2 linked regions of the Schizosaccharomyces pombe genome follow. The protein of the gene in region 1 binds, or shares a complex with, the protein of each later gene. Each region holds a gene or a part of one and is shown on either strand. Other genes may lie near its edges. The genes, in order: frg1 and usp102.

Region 1 (9,632 bases):
AAATAATGGAAGATGGAATCACGGTACTAACGGAAGAAGTAGCGCTGTCGACGACTGAGGAAATAGTGGCGGAAGCGGAATCGGTATCGACAGAAGATGCAACAGAAGCAGCGACAGTAGTAGGAGTAACGCTGGCAGCGAGATTGTCGGTAGAAGCAGAGGAAAGGCTGGCAAGGCTTGACAAAATGTCACTGCTAGCTTGAGCTTCAGAAGCAGCTGGTGTGGTGGCTGAATCACCATAAACAGCTGTAGTATACATGACCGTTTCGTACACGGTAAGAGTACTGTCGATGACATCGTCACGCTTATGATGAGGATGTCTCTTCATGTGTTGGTTGTTGCTACGCTTACGAAGAGAAGATAATGCGTTAGAAGTGTCGGGATAATAGACTGCAAAACGCTTGAGCTCAATAGGGCCACGGAAGTGGAAGGAGAACTCTTCGTCAAAGGGAGCCAAATTGCCGCCATAAGACTTGGGAGTACTGCTACAAGAGCATGAAGAGGTATCCATGTTGGTGATTTCGTTATAAGTAGAAGAATAGCCAACATTGGTGAATTCTACTTCGGAGGCCTGGTTACAGTAGTAGTAACCATTTTCCTCAGAGCATCCATCGGCTTTAACGCCAGAAAACGCGAAACAAAGGAAGAGAAAAGAAGCAATAAACGACTTGGCAATCATCTCAAGTTATACAAAGAAAAGATAAATATGTGAGTAGATAATAATATACTTAGACGCCGAACTAGGTATGGTTGAGGGGATATGTATGCAAACGCGTCCTAAATGAAAAAGAAAGGATTAGTACAAGTAAGCACTTGCCAAAAGAGAGCGTTTCGATATGGGGTATATGTAAAGAGTAAGTTTTGTAAGAGGCTGAAATTGGAAAACCAAGTTAAAACAATATATTGTTTCCGAAAGTGACAGTCGAGAACAAAGGATTGAGGGAAGAAAGAAACTGCAAACAAAGAGGCTTAGTTTTAGTTCCTCAAGACAAAAAAAATCCTTGTTCAAATAAAGGATGTAATAAAAAACGATTTTGAAAGAGAAATGAGTTCTCAAAAACGTTTGACCAAAAAGAAGTATCAAATCAAGTAATGCCTTTGCTTAGACAATACTCAAAAACCACAACGTATACAGTGGTTTAGTTGAAGTAAAAAAATAAAGGCAAGAACTTTTAGGTTATAAAGATATTTATATTTATATAACCAAGATTACCAGCCTCCTTGACGCAAATGATATAAGTAAGGAACGACTACCAACCAAGATTCACAAAAGTAAGAGTGTGACGAGAGTAAAGGCTAAAGAACCGAAAACACAAAGAGAGAGAGAGTAAAAAGAAAGTGGGTATTTTAGTAAAGAAACGAAGGTGAAAAGTTGGATTTAACACAACAACAACGAGAGTAAGAAAGAACGGACGTGGAACCGGATCAGAAGACCAACAAGTAGTTGAAGTATGTATATATTAAAAGAAAGACAAGAAAGTACTTAAACCACTCCGACTGACCAAGATCCGACACTCAGAAATTTTTTATCCAAAAAAAAGGCGTAGTTAATAAAAGGTAGTTGTAGTAAACAACGGGTTGTCAGGTGTTGTATATAAAGGAACGTCGAGGTTAGGGTTTCCTGAGAGCGTTTATAATTGGTTAAAAAAAAGTCATTCAGGACAGATTATTCGTTAACGAAACTTTTGATTCTAGAGATGACGGGCTCTGAGTGGTGGAAACCATGAGAGCAAAAGCGTACTCTAAAGTTTAATGCAAAGTAGACAGATTTTGATTGGTTTATGATAGGAAAGTCGGAGCGAATTGGAGGAAAGGAAGGTCAAAGTGAGCTGTTGCAATCTGCACGGGTGTACGCTTGCGTCCAGTAAAATTCGTAAAAGGGGTTTAATGAGAAGGCTGCTAATTCAACAAAGGCAAACTGACTGGTAGCGGGGATCTTTCCTTTGTGCTCTCTTTTGGATGGATATCGCTGTATATTTTAAATATATCTAACAATATTATTTTAAGGATTTCTAGACAGTACCGCATGGAGCTGGCCACATGCAATTATTAGGTCGTACTTAGAGTAATAGTAATAGTAAAATCAGGGCAGCATGTTATGTTACATCAATGTTTACAAGATCGCAGAAGTTGTAATAACTAAGTCAATTTTTTTCTATTTCTTTAGTCTTTTTCTTTCATTTGTTGTTTCGCACAATTAAAATTGCGCTCTAATATTGACCTATTTTTACCCATCCTTCTATGGATTGAGATAAACCATATTAGAATGGTCGGGTTCCTGACCAGCTTTGCGATCAGTATGGAATTGTATTGTCTAGCGATGGCGATTGTGTGACAATCAACAATTAATTTAATTATTCAATTCTGAGCAAATTTAGCACTCAGCCCATTTGGACTTTAATGAATCATTACTTTCACCAATTGGACTCCAATGCGTGCCACCTAATTTCATTGCAAAGAAATGGCCATATCGGAATAATGAATGCATATGCTAAATTAAAAAAAAAATTAAATAATAATTTGCGAGCTTATGCTCAAGAAGAACATTAATTGCTGAATTTGTGGTTTAAAACATTGTTTGGCAACTAAAAGTTAACAGATAAATATTTATATTTATATTTATTCACTGAGCATATTAATGGAAAGCTATTGAATTATATTGCTGAAATTCCTTATATGTATATTCTTAATATTATTTATTTATTTATTTAAATTTTATTTTTATGTGGTTGAGGCTTATCATATTATTTATCAAGTCCATACATCCGTTCAATTGTTACCAATGTTTGCTTAATTGTGTCCAAAACGAAATTGTAGATTTTCCATATTTACTAGATATTCACGTGGCCTCAATTTATATATCAAAACCAATAATGAAAAATTGCGCACTTGCATTAATAATTAAACCATTGTTTTTATTTGCCATCAGCAATAATTTTTTGATTAAAAATTTTTTAAGAAAAAAAAAAAAAAAAAAAAAAAAAGAAATTTATTCACCGTGATTAAGAAACTAACATATTACGCATATGGTTAGTATATTAGATAAAAATAAATTCTTATATTTATTATTTATTTTTTAAAAATATTTATTTTATTACAAACATTAAAATTTTCATGTTTCAGCATTTGGTTTAGATGAATGTAAAAGTCGTTAAAAAATAACCTTATTAACTAACGAGTTAGTTTTTTTTTTTTTTTTTTTTTTTTTTTTGAATGTTTTGGAATTTCCAAGTTCATTTGTACAACAATAATCAAGTTAATAGATTAAATAACAAAATTAATACTATTGTTTTTTTATCACTCAAATATTTTCATCCACTTTTGTGCTGTTTTTAATATGCAGGTATTATGGCTACACTTATTCACATAGTAATAAGTAAATTGAAACAGTGCTCATCTTTTGTAAGCTTTCAACTGAATAAGCAAAAAAAAATTCTTATTGTCATCAATGGACTTCCTTTTTTGGAATATGACTCGTCCTTCAACGAATGTTTTTGGTATTGAACAATGCTAGTCTTCGGTGCATACTTCTTCTCTCATCTATATTCAAAATTATCATTCAATTAAGCACATTTTTTTTCTTTCTCAAGCCATTAGAATGTTATGCAAATCATCCATTTTACAAACCAACATTAGCATGGGTCACAAAAGTCACATTGTGAGCAACAGAACATTTCTATTCATATAAAGCATTTCCTTGCTTATTAAAAACGTTTGAACCTCTTTTGTTTTGCTAAGAGTACCTTGCCTATTCCTCAGAACATATTGGATTTCAGCACGAAGAAGCATCTGGTCTGTTCAAATCCTTAACACTACTCCCACTACTTGCTTTTTCCTCGAAAACCACGCATAAATATTTAGTCATTATCCATTATTAACAATTATCATTTTTAAGGATTTTTAATCGTTTAAATTCTTGGTAATTTACTGATGGTAAAATGTCTATGCGATTAACTTTCAAGGGAGACAAAAAGATGTAAGATAAAATGAAATAACTGCTCGAATGTGGTAATTCATATTATATTGTTCATCACTAACAAGAAATCAGTCAAAAGAAGAAAAAAAAGAACACAAAATCACTTCAATCTTCTCTAGAATCAGCTGAAAACGATCCTTTTTGGACGGACGCAAACGAGCTAAATGAGCTTGAGGGTCCAGCGGTTATATAGTAAGCTTAACTTCAATATTCTTATACCTTTTTTTCTAATTTACTTACAACTTTATGTAGTAAAATAGACGATGATGCTGGTGTATCTCTTGGAATTGAAGAAGTTAAAGAAAGTTGCGTTCTTCTTCCCCTCGACAAAGTTTCGCTAGAGCCAGAATTGACGCGCCAGGTGTTTTTGTTATCCATACTGAACAATACTATACTATTGAAAAGCTGTTTAGGTAAATACATGTCATGTAGTAAGTCTGGAGACTTGTATTGTACGCAAGAGGCGGTAGGATCACAGGAACAATGGATAGCGGAGAATCTGGGCTCAGGATTTTGGGCTTGGAAAAGTGTATCAACGAAAAAATATTTAACATTAAGTAGAGAAAAACAAGATCAGGCCATTGCATGTGTCTCTGACACTGTCATTCCTGAAGCCAAATGGAGAATTCGAGTACAAACTCGTTTCCTAAAGAAAAACAAGTCTTCTTTATTTGACAACCCAACCATACATTCCAGACAATTAGAATCTATGTAAGTTATGCTATTCTATTTTATTGGGGTTTCCCTTCTACTTTCGTCATTCTAACTTTGTAATTTTACAGGGCTGGAAGAAAACTTTCTACCGATGAAAAAAAGACCCTCAAAAAAGCGTTTAAGGAAGGAGTTCTTCATGAAGCATTACTAGATTTACGAGTATCTTCAAGGAGCGACAAATATGGTTAATTTTTCGGATATTCTTGATAAACCATTAATATCTTGACTTACTGATTAATGTACGATTACCTGCTGGACCAAAGCTAGCAAAAACAGATTTGATTTTTTCTCTTGAATTTTAGGCACCTTGTATAGCTATTGAGACTCCTTTCAGCTATTCACTACTTTTATGTATGAATTTACAAAGCTTTATGGTAATTACTCATTTCAAAAGTGAAGTGTTTTACTTCATTCCTTAATTTTAACGAACTATTTTTTTTTAATAAAAAATGAATATTTAATGAATCTGTTGAAATTCATTCCCTTCATACATGTATGGTTTTACAAATAAATGCAACAAGTAAATAATTATAGTCATCAGCATCGCTTGAAAAAGATTAAAATAGTTTTAGATTATTACTACTATTACCTAGTCATTATTTCAGCTTCAAAAATATATTTCTATACTGGCCCTGTCCTTAAGGCTGTACGCCAATCTTACTGCTCACCTTTACCAAGAATCGAAGTAACACCCTGCATCTGTCAAGTCAAGAGGAAATTGAAAAAAATAATTAGAAAAGAGACCAATTAATTGCATTTGTTAATAAAAAGGCTAAATTTAGAGGATCATTATTTTTACAGTGTATAAAAACCATAGGGATGTGCATCTTCAAGTTTTTAATATGAGCTCATCCCCATTCACAAATCTTGGGAATTTGGACACAGAAGCAATCTATGAAAATAAGGAAAATGAATACCAGACAAACATAACTAATGAGACCTCAAATGTTCAAAATTTATCAAGTGGTAATGATGATCAGCAGTATCCCAATTCTACGAATGATGATGCAAATAATGGATTAACTGCCTCTCAAGCAAAATTGCAAGATATTGCCGCTGTCACTTTATTTCAGGATAATAATATTTCAACTACGACTTTAGCTCCGCCTTCACCTTCACCTTTGCGTCTCAATGAAGCTCCTCGCAGACGTGGAAGACCTCGAAAATATCCACCAAAACCAATTGACGAAGGATCGGAGCCTATAATCAAACGGAAGCGTGGCAGACCTCCAAAAATAAAAAGTTCTTCTCCTTCCACAAAACTAGATGATCCCTTAAAGCCTAAAAGAGGTAGAGGACGTCCTCGTTTACATCCTCTCCCAGTAGTGCAACCGTCTGTAGATGAGGGAACAACTCAAAATAATCTACAGATGGGGTTAGATGAGCCGAATATCATAGAAGGTTTTGCCGAAGGGCATGCCAATTTAAGTGAGCTGAAGCCAAAGAGAGGGCGTGGACGACCTCGAAAAATAAAACCAGAAGAAGGGAGCTCAAGTCAAAATGGGCTTTCTCCTTTGGTAGTATTACCTGCGAAAAGAGGGCGCGGGCGTCCACCTTTACATCGATCTGAACAGAAGATTGCAAATACTCCAATTTCGAATAATGTAACGGTTGAATCGACAGGTACAAATCTACATACTCATTCACAGTTGAATCCAGAAAATGAACAATCTTCTTCTGAATTCTATTCATTGAATCCACAATCTGAAATACGGAAGGAAGTTGTAGTCACAGATCAACCTTTATTTTCTACTGCAGACGTCCCAGTAAAGCGGAAACGTGGACGACCTCCTTTAAATAAGCCCAAGATACTTTTTGGGACAAGTACTGAAAATAAAATAGATGAAAATAGACCCAAACGAGGTAGAGGAAGACCTCGCCTTGAAAGACCGAGTGGCTTGCCTTTAGATTCAAAATCACAATCCCTTTTTAAAAGAAAGCGTGGTAGACCTCCAAAAATAGCTAGTGGAATTGTACCTTTAAGCGCCTTTACTAGAAAACATGAGGATATGCTTCATGACTCAGACGCGTTGTCACTTAAACATTTTGCTATTACATCTCCTAATAATCAACAGTTCCTTAATAATCAACAGCGAGAATCAGCTCCGTTGCTTCCTAGAAAACGTGGACGACCACCGAAAAAGCGTCAAGAGAATGCGGAAATTCGTAATATCACACCTGGTTTAACCGATTCCTCTGTTCACTCCTCTTCAGCAACTCCGCAATCCGAATCTTCATCACCCAATTCAGTTTCTCCACTACTTCCTTCATCTGACAGATTACCCCTTCTTCGACAATCTCAATTTACACCTCCTCCCAAAAAACCTAATTTCGAAGTTGCTATTATTTCTCCTAAAAAGAGTCAGCATAAACTTTATCCTAATCCTGTCGTTGAGTCTGTATTTAATGACGTCCCATATTCTGAAATTGACTCACAGTTACATACTATTAAATCTACGATTGCTGCAAGGTTGTGTGGGAAAAGCCATATCCCTCTTGTAGGACATATGGATGAACAGACAAAGCTTTATCAATGGGTCCGACAAACTATAGTACTTGGCGAAGGTAATTCTGTCATTATTGTCGGTCCACGGGGTTCTGGAAAATCAGTTCTCGTGGATGATATACTATCACGCGCAGCTCAGGAAATAAATGAAAAAAGTTATGTCGTAAGATTGAATGGTACGTACCAGACAGATGACAAACTAGCTTTGCGTGAAATATCGCGACAATTATCTATTGAACTTGAATCTATCGAGTCTGATGAAGCATTAAAATCAGAAATGAACTTTTCTGATACACTTACAAAATTGTTAGCTACATTGTCTCATCCCGTGGATTTGGGAATTGCAGAAGACGTAATGACAACGTCTGCAGCCGTGATATTTGTTTTAGAAGAGTTTGACCTGTTTGTTCAGCATTCACGGCAAATGCTCTTGTATAACTTGTTTGACATTGCTCAATCGAGGAAAGCCCCGATACTGATCATAGGCTTGACTACTCGCTATGATTGTTCTGAATCACTTGAAAAGCGAGTAAAAAGTAGGTTTAGTCACATGGTAATTCCCATGCGACCACCTTCTTCGCTTAGTGAATTTGAGCAAATTTTAAAATCTGTTTTGTATGTTTCTGACGAAGGCGGAAAAGACCAAATAATAACATGCTGGAACCAGAGAGTGGATGAATTGCTTTCCGATACACGAAGTCACTTACATAAATTGGTACAACATCACTATTTTGCAAGCAGAAATTTAAAATTATTGTATGTTGATTTATTATTTCCCATACTTTCCATGGCACCTGATCGTCCATTACTTGCTGATGAAGACTTCGCCAATATCAGTCTCAAAGTTTCTGACCATAAGGTTGAACTTGTAAAGAATTTAAGTTTGTTGGAGTTGGCTTTATTGATTTGTGCAGTTCGCTTTGAAGCTAGGGATATTCCAGCTTGCAACTTTAATAGTGCTTATCAAGAATATCGACAACTGCATCAATCTTCCGTTATAAATGCCGCAGCATCGGGAGCTCTAGCTCATAGCAGTCGATTATGGGGAAGGGATGTTGCTTTGGAAGCATGGGAAACTTTAGGGTCTATAGGATTGATTATACCGGTTCACCCTTCTACTAATGTTAGTGGTGCCCTTTCTAGACAATGCCAACTATGGCAGCCAGAAGTGGATATCAATGTAGTTTCTGTAGGTTTGCGTGAACATCGACGTTTGCCATCGCATTATTACCGCTGGCTTAAGGAGGTTATATAAAAGAATTGCAATTTTTTTTGTTTCTGTTGTATTTTATTAACTTTGTATCCTTTTTAAATAAAACAATATAAGAAAGGCAAAAATAAGGACGACCGTGTTGAAGGTTATATACCATTACACATTGTAGTTATTACCGATATTTGATAAATAAAAGTTTTAATTTTAATTGATTAAATATTTGCTTCTGATAAACGAAAATAGAATTTACTTTTTTGCTATCAGCGCTGGTTAAGCTGTGAAAGAAGCTGGTCTCCAAATATTTATATTAGATGACTTATGAAGGTAAATCAGTAATCAACGGATCAATGAATACCTAAACATTTTAATGATAGTTTTTGTTTCAGGGTCACTTTGTACTAATGTAGAAAAAAAATTTTGGCGGAATATTTCATGAAAGGTGGTAAGAAAAACAAAATAAATTAGATTAAACGAAAGGACTCATCAGTGGTACTTTTAAGCCCAAAAAAAAGTGATAGCACATAAGGAATTCACGCAGTTTAACTAACTTAAAGATATGTCATAAAAGTTTAAAAAAAGCATCACAATAACAAGATTCTCATTATAAAATCAAAAACAAACTAATATTCAATAAACTGCTAATTGAATATGAATTTAACCAATTTATCTTTTAAACGAAACACTAGCCTTAACGAAAGCAGGAAAAAACAGCCTGCACTCGTTGTAGGCACCGTACAGTATTGAAACAATTTTGAATTGAAGCTGAGATAACCGTCACCTTTATAAAACATTGGAAATAAAACTGAGTGTTAAGAAAACCGGAAATTTATTGAGAAAAGTTAGAGGGCTAGCTCCGAGGAAGCATCGTAAAGTGTATTTTTCCAGCTTTTGAGCTGAGAATGTAGAGATATAAGTTCATCTTGGAGCTTGTTTAAATTAGGATTATTAGTATCATTATTATCATAATATGAAGAGACTTTTAAATATAAATTCTTATAACGCGGATAAGTTTCCCGAAATCTTTTTGCCAATGCTCGCATTTCTTCTGTAGTGTAACGTTGTTGACGACGCTTTTTAGCTATCCATGCATCTTGTTCATTCTTCTTGGGAGAGTTTGCATTGGGTTCAAGAGTGCCGTTGGTAGAAGACGAAGACGTAGGAAACGGGGTGGAAGGCAAGGATTGCGGAGGAGAACGACTTTTTCGTTTGATATGTGGAGATGA
Region 2 (8,137 bases), 1.4 Mb from region 1:
TTGGGCTGACATCCACCTTGCATATCTGAACCAAAATTCATCATAAAGTGCACAAGTAATTAAACATCTCTCATACAAATGACATATTCTCTGAAAATCTCCCTCCACTTCTTCAAAGTCCAAATATTTTCTCCAATTAACTAGTTGTGCTTCATCGAGTTCTTTAACATGAAAGTAAGGACGTTTAATTTCCGATTCGAACGTCCATCGTTTAGCAGTTTCGAGTTGAACTTTTTGAAAAATTTGCAAATGGATATTATATATGCGAGCTCTCATCTCTCTTTCAATTTCGAGTTCACCGCGTTCAACGGTAATTTGTTTTGATCCAGCAGAAACAACTTTAGCGGGTTCACGAGTTACATCAGCTCTGATAGATGCCAATACGTCAGGAGGTAATAATTGCTGTATTGGTTGACTCTGTGAAACTTGAACGAATCTACGACGTTAGCCTTTGAGCTTAAATTGAATTTGATCACAAAATTAATTGAGACAATTACGAATGTTAATGGTAATTTGTCCGTACCTTTCAAAATAACGAGCGTATTGATGTAGGGGAATGTGTATAAGACGCTCTAATAATTGAAATACATTATCTGGACGCTCCTGACGCTCCTCAAATTCCAGATATTTATCCCAAAATGGATGTGACAGAAAATCCAATCCAACCATGTTCGCACCTTGCATGAATAGCCTGATGAGTTAGTATTTGTCACGTGAAATAAGGGTTTATTCTTACTCCCGAACTTCATTTGCATCACCATTGGTTTCCATTTTAAAAGCGCAATAGTTTGTCCACAAATCAACAGAGTGTGGAATACCAGCAATTCCTCGTTCGTAGATCTATTTTTTTATTAGAAAAATAACAAATCGCATAATACTTGTGTACATACATGCTCTGATGCTTCAGCACCTGCCACAAAAAACTCAAAATCTGCATACTTCTTCCAATAACCAAACAATAGCGGATATTTTCCCAAGAATCGATCGTACACACTTCTTAATGTATTGATAGCCTGTTTCGAAGAGTTTCTGCCAACACCTCCCTCAAGATGTTCTGAAGCACGAACCAGTCCTTCCCTAAATCATAATTAGCACTAAATAAGTTGTATCTGACAACATCCTACCAAGCATCAAAATCATCTGGATTTTTATTTATTTGACGATTATATTTATCCCATTCTGTTTCCTCTGCAATGTAAATATCCCCATAATCCATTTTGGTTCGCAAGTATAAAAGCGCGTAAGGATAAAATGTAAATATCGAACAGCAACGAAATATACTTTCTTCAGCCGTATTCGGTTGAACTTAAATAAATTACAATATTAGTTTAGTGCAGTACATTAGTCTGCCGAATCGTATCATACAGAATAATACGACACTGCCCGCAACGCTGATTTAAAAATTAATAACTAATAAAGTACATTTGGGCGATACACAAGCGTAAAATGATTATTGTTCTGTAACAGACTTACTAATATAATGAAAATTCAACTACAAATCACTGTATAAACATGACTCACTTCAACATTTACAAATATTTATTAACATTGGAAATACTTAGCTACTAAGCAACGAATCAACAAAAACTTAATTAGGTATAAAAAATATTATTTCCTATAATGAACACAAAAACACAAAAATGGACAAAGAATGCACATGTATCTAATATTATATGCAAACGAACATAATCTCAAAAAACTAGATTTAAGATGCACAGTAACTTAACAAATTATCAATCCAAACTTAGCTAATAATATAATATATAGACCCAACGAATCGGAACAACAAATTTTGGATCTAGCTGCCTCACACAATTCATAAATCATACAAAGACGTTTAGCTATTGCCTTATGCGTAATCTTCCTCATGGGAAGAGTATTGTGGAGATGAGTCAGTGTTTGAAGCACGCTCAACATACTCAACAGACTCACCACGGGCACCGCCCTTTCTGGATTTCTCTTTCTCAACTTTCTTTTGCTCAGAATAGTTAAGCTTAAAGTTACCAGATTCCCAGGGCTTGATGACAGACATATACAACTCATTAATTTCTTCCAAAGTAAGACCTTTAGTCTCTTTAGCAAACAAGAAAATAACAATTGCACCGGTCAAATTACAAGAAGCAAAAACGTAACCGTACTTGAATCCAATAGAAGCTTGAATGAATGGAGTAAAGAATGAAATTAGGAAATTCCAGAGCCAGTTGCTAGCAGTAGCGACGGCAGCACACTTAGAGCGGTAACGAACAGGGTATGACTCACCAACAATAACGTATGCGGCAGGAGCCCAAGTTTGAGCAAATCCAAAAATGAAAAGACATGCCATGACAATCATAACGGCACCAGCACGGGTATTTGAAGTACCGTTCTTATGATATAAAGCACGAGAACCGACAGCTGAATAAATGAAAAAGCAAATTGACTGCCAAATACCACCAATGATAAGAGGGTTACGACGACCAAACCTTTCCAATACATACATACCACCAAAAGTGCAGCCAAAATTAACTGCATCAAGAATCATAGCAGATAGGTAAGGAGAATTAATACCAGCTCCTTGCATAACTGAGAAACCATAGTAGAAGAAATAGTTGTTACCGGTCAATTGTTGAAGCGACATAACAAACATACCAAGGAAAGTACGATAACGAATGTCTTTACCGAAAATGCTTGCCCAGCTGCAAGGGCCACCAGCAAATTCTTCGTCAATAGATGATTTGAGACGGTGATATTCATTTTGAACTTCCTCACTATCAGGAAAAAGCTCAGCACTTTCAGAAAGAACTCTAACAGCCTCTTCATCCTTGCCAACTTGAATAAGATAACGAGGGGATTCGGGAAGGAAGAGAATTCCAATCATGGTAATGATACCCCAAAGGAGATTAATACCAATTGAAACACGCCACTGGGCAGTTTTATGAAGTTTGTGAGTACCCATATTGATACAAGCGGCAATGAAAATTCCACCAGTGACAAACAACTGATAAGTGACGACGACGGTACCACGAATACTGGGAGGAGCAGTCTCTGATTGATATCCAGGAGCCAAGACAGAAAGAGCGCCAATACCAATACCAGTCCAAATCTTGGCAACCATGATTTGTACCCAAGAGGGAACAGCGGTAACTTGAACGATGATACCAATGATATAAACAGCACAAAAACCAATGATAGAAAGTCTCTTACCAAAACGATCGGCAATGGGAGAAGAAATGATACATCCAAACAAGGAACCAACGTTAACCATACCAGTTAAAAGACCTTGACGAGCCGAAGACAAAGAATACTGGTCGGTGATCGGGTCATATCTATCAGCATAACGCTCACGAAAATCGCGCATACTAGTAACACCACCAATGGAACCGGTATCAGCACCAAACATCCAACCGGCCATGGAGACGAAAATTAACATAACAAGGGTAAAATTCTTTCCACGCTTGAACCCCATTTTGATAAAGTATAAAGGAATCTAATAAAGATGAAAAAAAACAAAAATTCTATAGAAAGGATGTAAGTGGAAAATAAAAGATTGAATAAAATTAACCACACGTCTATTTCAGTTGCAACACGTTAAGCAGAAATGATAGAACAAAGAACAGACAGTTTATGAGTTAGAGATCTTGACAAGAGATTCTCAATAAATAAAAATTAAAAGAAAAATTAATCTAGATTATGATTTTCAAGCACAGAGAGCTTGTATTTTCAAAATCGGTATAAAGAAAGGGTAACCAAGGAAAGCACAATGCTTTTATTGAGCTTTCTTTGGATTTCGTTCTTGTTTAACCAAAAAAAGAAAGGATTTTTAGGTAAATGAAGACTAAAGTTGCTCTTGCACTTAAAAAGCAAGAATAGGTCTAGGTAAAGATTTTAACAGTCAAGAGGGCAGCTTTTATACTAAATTCGGGAAGAGAAACCCCGACAAAAGTATCAAAAGTCCTTTGCTTTCAGTGAAATTTTAGACAGGATCGCCGGAGAGTTTTTGGTTATACGTCACAATATTACAAGGGCAACAAGGTAGTTAGCAAACTCTTGTATCATTGGACGCCGACTTAAAAAAACGCAGTCACACACAAATAAGAACGAATAAGATGTGGAATAGAATTTAAACGACGTGTATGACGAGGATCAACAGCTCGTTGAAAGTCAAGAACGAGGTAAAAATGTCACGATATCATTAATTCTCCATAGCAAAAAAAAAAATTCAATCGTAAAATGATACACTGTACGTAATGAAACTGATGCATATACTGGGGAAAGACACTATTAGTGAGGTAGAAAGCCGATAACAGGATGAAAAAACGACTTTCAATAAATGTGATGTAGGAATAATTCTCAAAAGTAAAGTAAATTTAAATACTTTGGCGACCGAGGCTGCAAGTTCGGACTGCTAGCAAATACAGAGTGTATTCCAACGTCAATAATTTTAGCAAAGTAACCGAAAAAACCAAGTATATTTCTATACTCCTCATATCGTTAAATCAAGATTGAACACAAAAAAACGTTTCCTGAGGCAAAAGAAGTAAAGTGTCTGCAGTAAAATTAATTCGCAAGGCGAAAAAATAATACCAATGGTGGCCATACGTATTGGAACCAGCAAATATCAAAGTTTAAAACACAGCATACTCTCATCGCTGCATGACTATCTCAAAGCTGGCAATAGAACAATTAACGTTACGGAACCATAATCCTTCAAATTTCGATTGCTTGCATTCTCGAGCTCCACATATTCGAGTCCATAACGGAACTAACCTAAATGCGGAGTTCCTCTAGTATTAACTAGTAACATGAATAGAGCATAGCCGTGCTCTTTTTTTTTAAGAAAACGTCACGCAACGTGTATCTTATCTCTGTCCTATCCAAGTCAGGATAGCTAGGGGCCCCCAACCTGGAGACCATACATCGACCGCGACACCAACCATCCTAGCGAGACTCCCTAACAAGAAGGTAAATATGGATGGACAATGAACCTTTTCAAAAAAAAACAGAATTCTCAAGCGATATATTCGCTCTTGAACAGTTCGGTGTAAAAGGATACTTCTATCCCTTGATTACGTGTACGCCCATACTTCATTCGGACTATAGAAGAAATATGGAGCTGTAACCCGTACTGCAATTGTCTGTGTTAAGAAAATGTAAACGCTGCACACTAAATCATCACTAATTCATCGCTAACTAACGTAGTCCCTAAAAAGTTATGAACTTGGTAAACGACTTTTGAGGCCTTGGGACCTCCTTAAATACGCCCAACTCATTACTAACAAGGTTTGCTATGTCCGTGAAAAGCGCCTATTGTACATATATTGCTCCCATATATGTGAAGCTTTTGCCCAATCATTGTAAGACAGGGTCTTGCTATATTTCCCTACCCCGCTCCATTCTTCCCAAGTCTGAGAAAAACTGTGGAGAAGCCTACCAATTTTGCCTAAGGGGATTTTGATCCCGCCTCTGCAATCTATTGGACGATAATAGCTATAACTACATTTGATTGGATGAAAGACATGTGATGAATGCTGGATGGTTTTGTTGTTTTTAAATGACCACCGATAATTTTTTTAGTTAGTACGCATACATTGATGAAAGCTGAAAAATTATAATAGGGTGAATAAATGAAATTCTTTTTGTGTCTTTTACTCTAATATCGTCTGGCAATTTTCTATTTTCGTACTTCGATAGCGCCATACATGTCTTGTCACCCGTTTTTACGAGCTAGGCTTAGAAATATCTTGGAATTTTTTTTCAGACATGTTGATGATTGGCTGATACTTTTTCCAGTTCTGCCTCCTCCACAATTTGCATCCGCGTTTTCCAGAGACGTTGGGGCAATAACTTTGTCTAACATTAAATTGAAATTACAAGGGTAAGTATTTGAATCAAGACTAACCTTTATACGTTGAATGTCTTCGATATTGTAGAGAATGCCTTGAAAAAAAAATTTTATTTGTGTTAATACAATCTAATATTGTGGAATAAAAAATGGTTTGTGACTGCTCTTCTGTTCTCGGCTGTTGTATTTCTTAATAGGACGGCTCGTAAAATTCGTTATTTGCGCGTCCAGTACACCATCGATTCCCATATTATCCACAGTTTACAAATAACAATATTTATATCATTTTCTTTACTTTGGGTAAACGCTCTCTTTCAGTAACTAAATCAATTGTTGTTTATAAAATTTTTATTCTTTTGTTTGCGCGTTCAAAATTTGTCTGCACGGTAAATCATTAACGCATAAACTCGGTTCTTTTACCTAGGTATCTCGTAAATTATATAAGGATTTGTACCATATTGTAACAAAATACAAGGCAAACTGAATTATTGTACAGATTATCGTATTCACTATTCAAGCATTCGTAACTTTTTCTGCAACTGAAAACAAGATTAATGAGCAACAACATGGTCAAACATAGCGATGCGTTATCGTGTTAAAACTACGTCCATTTATTGAAGTTCTTCCTTTCGCGATCTTTAACTTGGATAAGGAGTGTTTCTCTCCATTTGATATTTGGTACATTAGAGTACTGTATTTTGAAAACAAGCGCTTTTAGAATACATCCAACGAAATATTAATGCTGGCTATAATTTACATTTTGAAATTGAATGTAAAGTCAACCATTACGAGCCATATTTACTAAAACAAGGTGGTACCTGAAAGACTACTTCTTTTGGTAATTAGCTGGAATTTAATGCCATAAGCTGGATTGTCTTCCAATTTTTAAATACTCGTGTTTTTTGATTCATCATAACATTAGTGCCGAAATTCACTGTGAATATCTTTTTATATTTAACATCCAATGGATCCTCAAACAAATTCGCATCAAGAGGTTCAACAACCATCTCCTAAAGAGACAGACTCTCAAACACCGTCAGAGACTCTCTACATACGCAACATTGAAGAAAAAATTCGTCTTACTAGTATGCCACTAATTTAAATTGTTTTAATTTAATTTAATTTCTAACAATCGTAGTGTTGAAACGAATTTTAGAACATCTCTTTGGGTCTTATGGTAAAGTCATAGATGTTCAAGCAAGAAAGACTTTGCGAATGCGCGGTCAAGCATTTGTAGTATTCGACAACTTGGAGAACGCGTCACGAGCGTTAAAGGATTTACAAGGATACCCTTTGTATGGAAAGCCCATGATGATACAGTACAGTAAATCTAAAAGCGATATTATCGTACAAAGAGAATCTCCTGAAGAAATAGAAACTAGGAAAAAAGATAGGAAAAATAGGAGAGGTATAATCTTTTTTATTCTAAAATCAAAGACCTCACTTTACTAACCTTATATTATAGAAATGCTTAAACGGACTAGCGCTCTTCAACCCGCAGCTCCCAAACCCACTCATAAAAAGCCGGTTCCTAAACGTAATGTTGGAGCTGAGCGTAAATCGACAATTAATGAAGATTTGTTGCCTCCTAATAAGGTACTTCTGTTACAAAATATCCCTCAAGAAGTAAACGCAGACGTCCTTACACAAATTTTCGAAGCGTTTTCTGGATTTCAAGAAGTACGTATGGTTCCCGGTAGAAGAGGAATTGCATTTGTTGAATACGATTCTGATAGAGAAGCAACGGTCGCAAAAAATGGGACAACAGGTATGTCCCTCAGTGGAAATCAAATAAAGGTAACATTCGCTCGGAAGGCCTCGTAGTTGATTCTGCAACTATTTTAATTCCCTCTTTCAAATTTTTGTTGCAATAATCATCCAAAAGTCACCTTTCGAAATATATAAAGCTCCTATCATTTTCATAATTGATCATTTGTGTATATAAATTATATAATGCAATTTTGCAGGCCCAAAATTATGTATATCAAGCATGTAATTATGTTAAGCTTTCAGTACCTTGAACCCGCTATATTTTCCAGACGATCCTTTCATTAATTCGATATTTCCTTTTTTCATTAGTAGCTCAAGAACTTTATGGAGGAGTACTTCGTCTAAACAATCTACCTCTTTATATTGTTCTTGAAGTTCGTAAAATGTACATATAGACCCTTCTCGTCCCATATCGGATAGCTGTAAAACAATTAGTACTTTCGACTATGCAGAAAATGGCTTACCCATTTCAAGATCATATTCCCCCATTCAGATATAGACCTCCAGTATACCCAAAACACGTCTTTAGGATTTCGCTTTTCAGTC

Evidence for each region.
Region 2: frg1 (region 1) and usp102 share a complex: the UniProt entries of both Schizosaccharomyces pombe proteins name them as parts of the spliceosome.

The regions. Positions count from the first base shown.
Region 1 is NC_003423.3:2,020,011-2,029,642, forward strand, and holds frg1 (FRG1 family mRNA-processing protein), read left to right. Parts: upstream 1-3,838; 5' UTR 3,839-3,938; coding exon 3,939-3,976; exon of another isoform or gene 3,977-4,048; coding exon 4,049-4,168; exon of another isoform or gene 4,169-4,228; coding exon 4,229-4,687; intron 4,688-4,758; coding exon 4,759-4,879; 3' UTR 4,880-5,177; downstream 5,178-9,632. Other genes in the region: SPOM_SPBP23A10.11C (circularly permuted 1,3-beta-glucanase), read right to left, coding at 1-679; origin recognition complex subunit Orc4, read left to right, coding at 5,533-8,451; RNA polymerase II transcription elongation factor Ell1, read right to left, coding at 9,249-9,632. UniProt on the Schizosaccharomyces pombe protein: May have a role in processing of pre-rRNA or in the assembly of rRNA into ribosomal subunits. May be involved in pre-mRNA splicing.
Region 2 is NC_003423.3:3,422,880-3,431,016, reverse strand, and holds usp102 (U1 snRNP-associated protein Usp102), read left to right. Parts: upstream 1-6,537; 5' UTR 6,538-6,785; coding exon 6,786-6,906; exon of another isoform or gene 6,907-6,959; coding exon 6,960-7,229; exon of another isoform or gene 7,230-7,286; coding exon 7,287-7,645; 3' UTR 7,646-7,795; downstream 7,796-8,137. Other genes in the region: U1 snRNP-associated protein Prp39, read right to left, coding at 1-436, 524-691, 737-840, 891-1,077, 1,125-1,216; plasma membrane glucose/fructose:proton symporter Ght2, read right to left, coding at 1,850-3,445; ESCRT II complex subunit Vps25, read right to left, coding at 7,823-8,011, 8,056-8,137. UniProt on the Schizosaccharomyces pombe protein: Involved in nuclear mRNA splicing.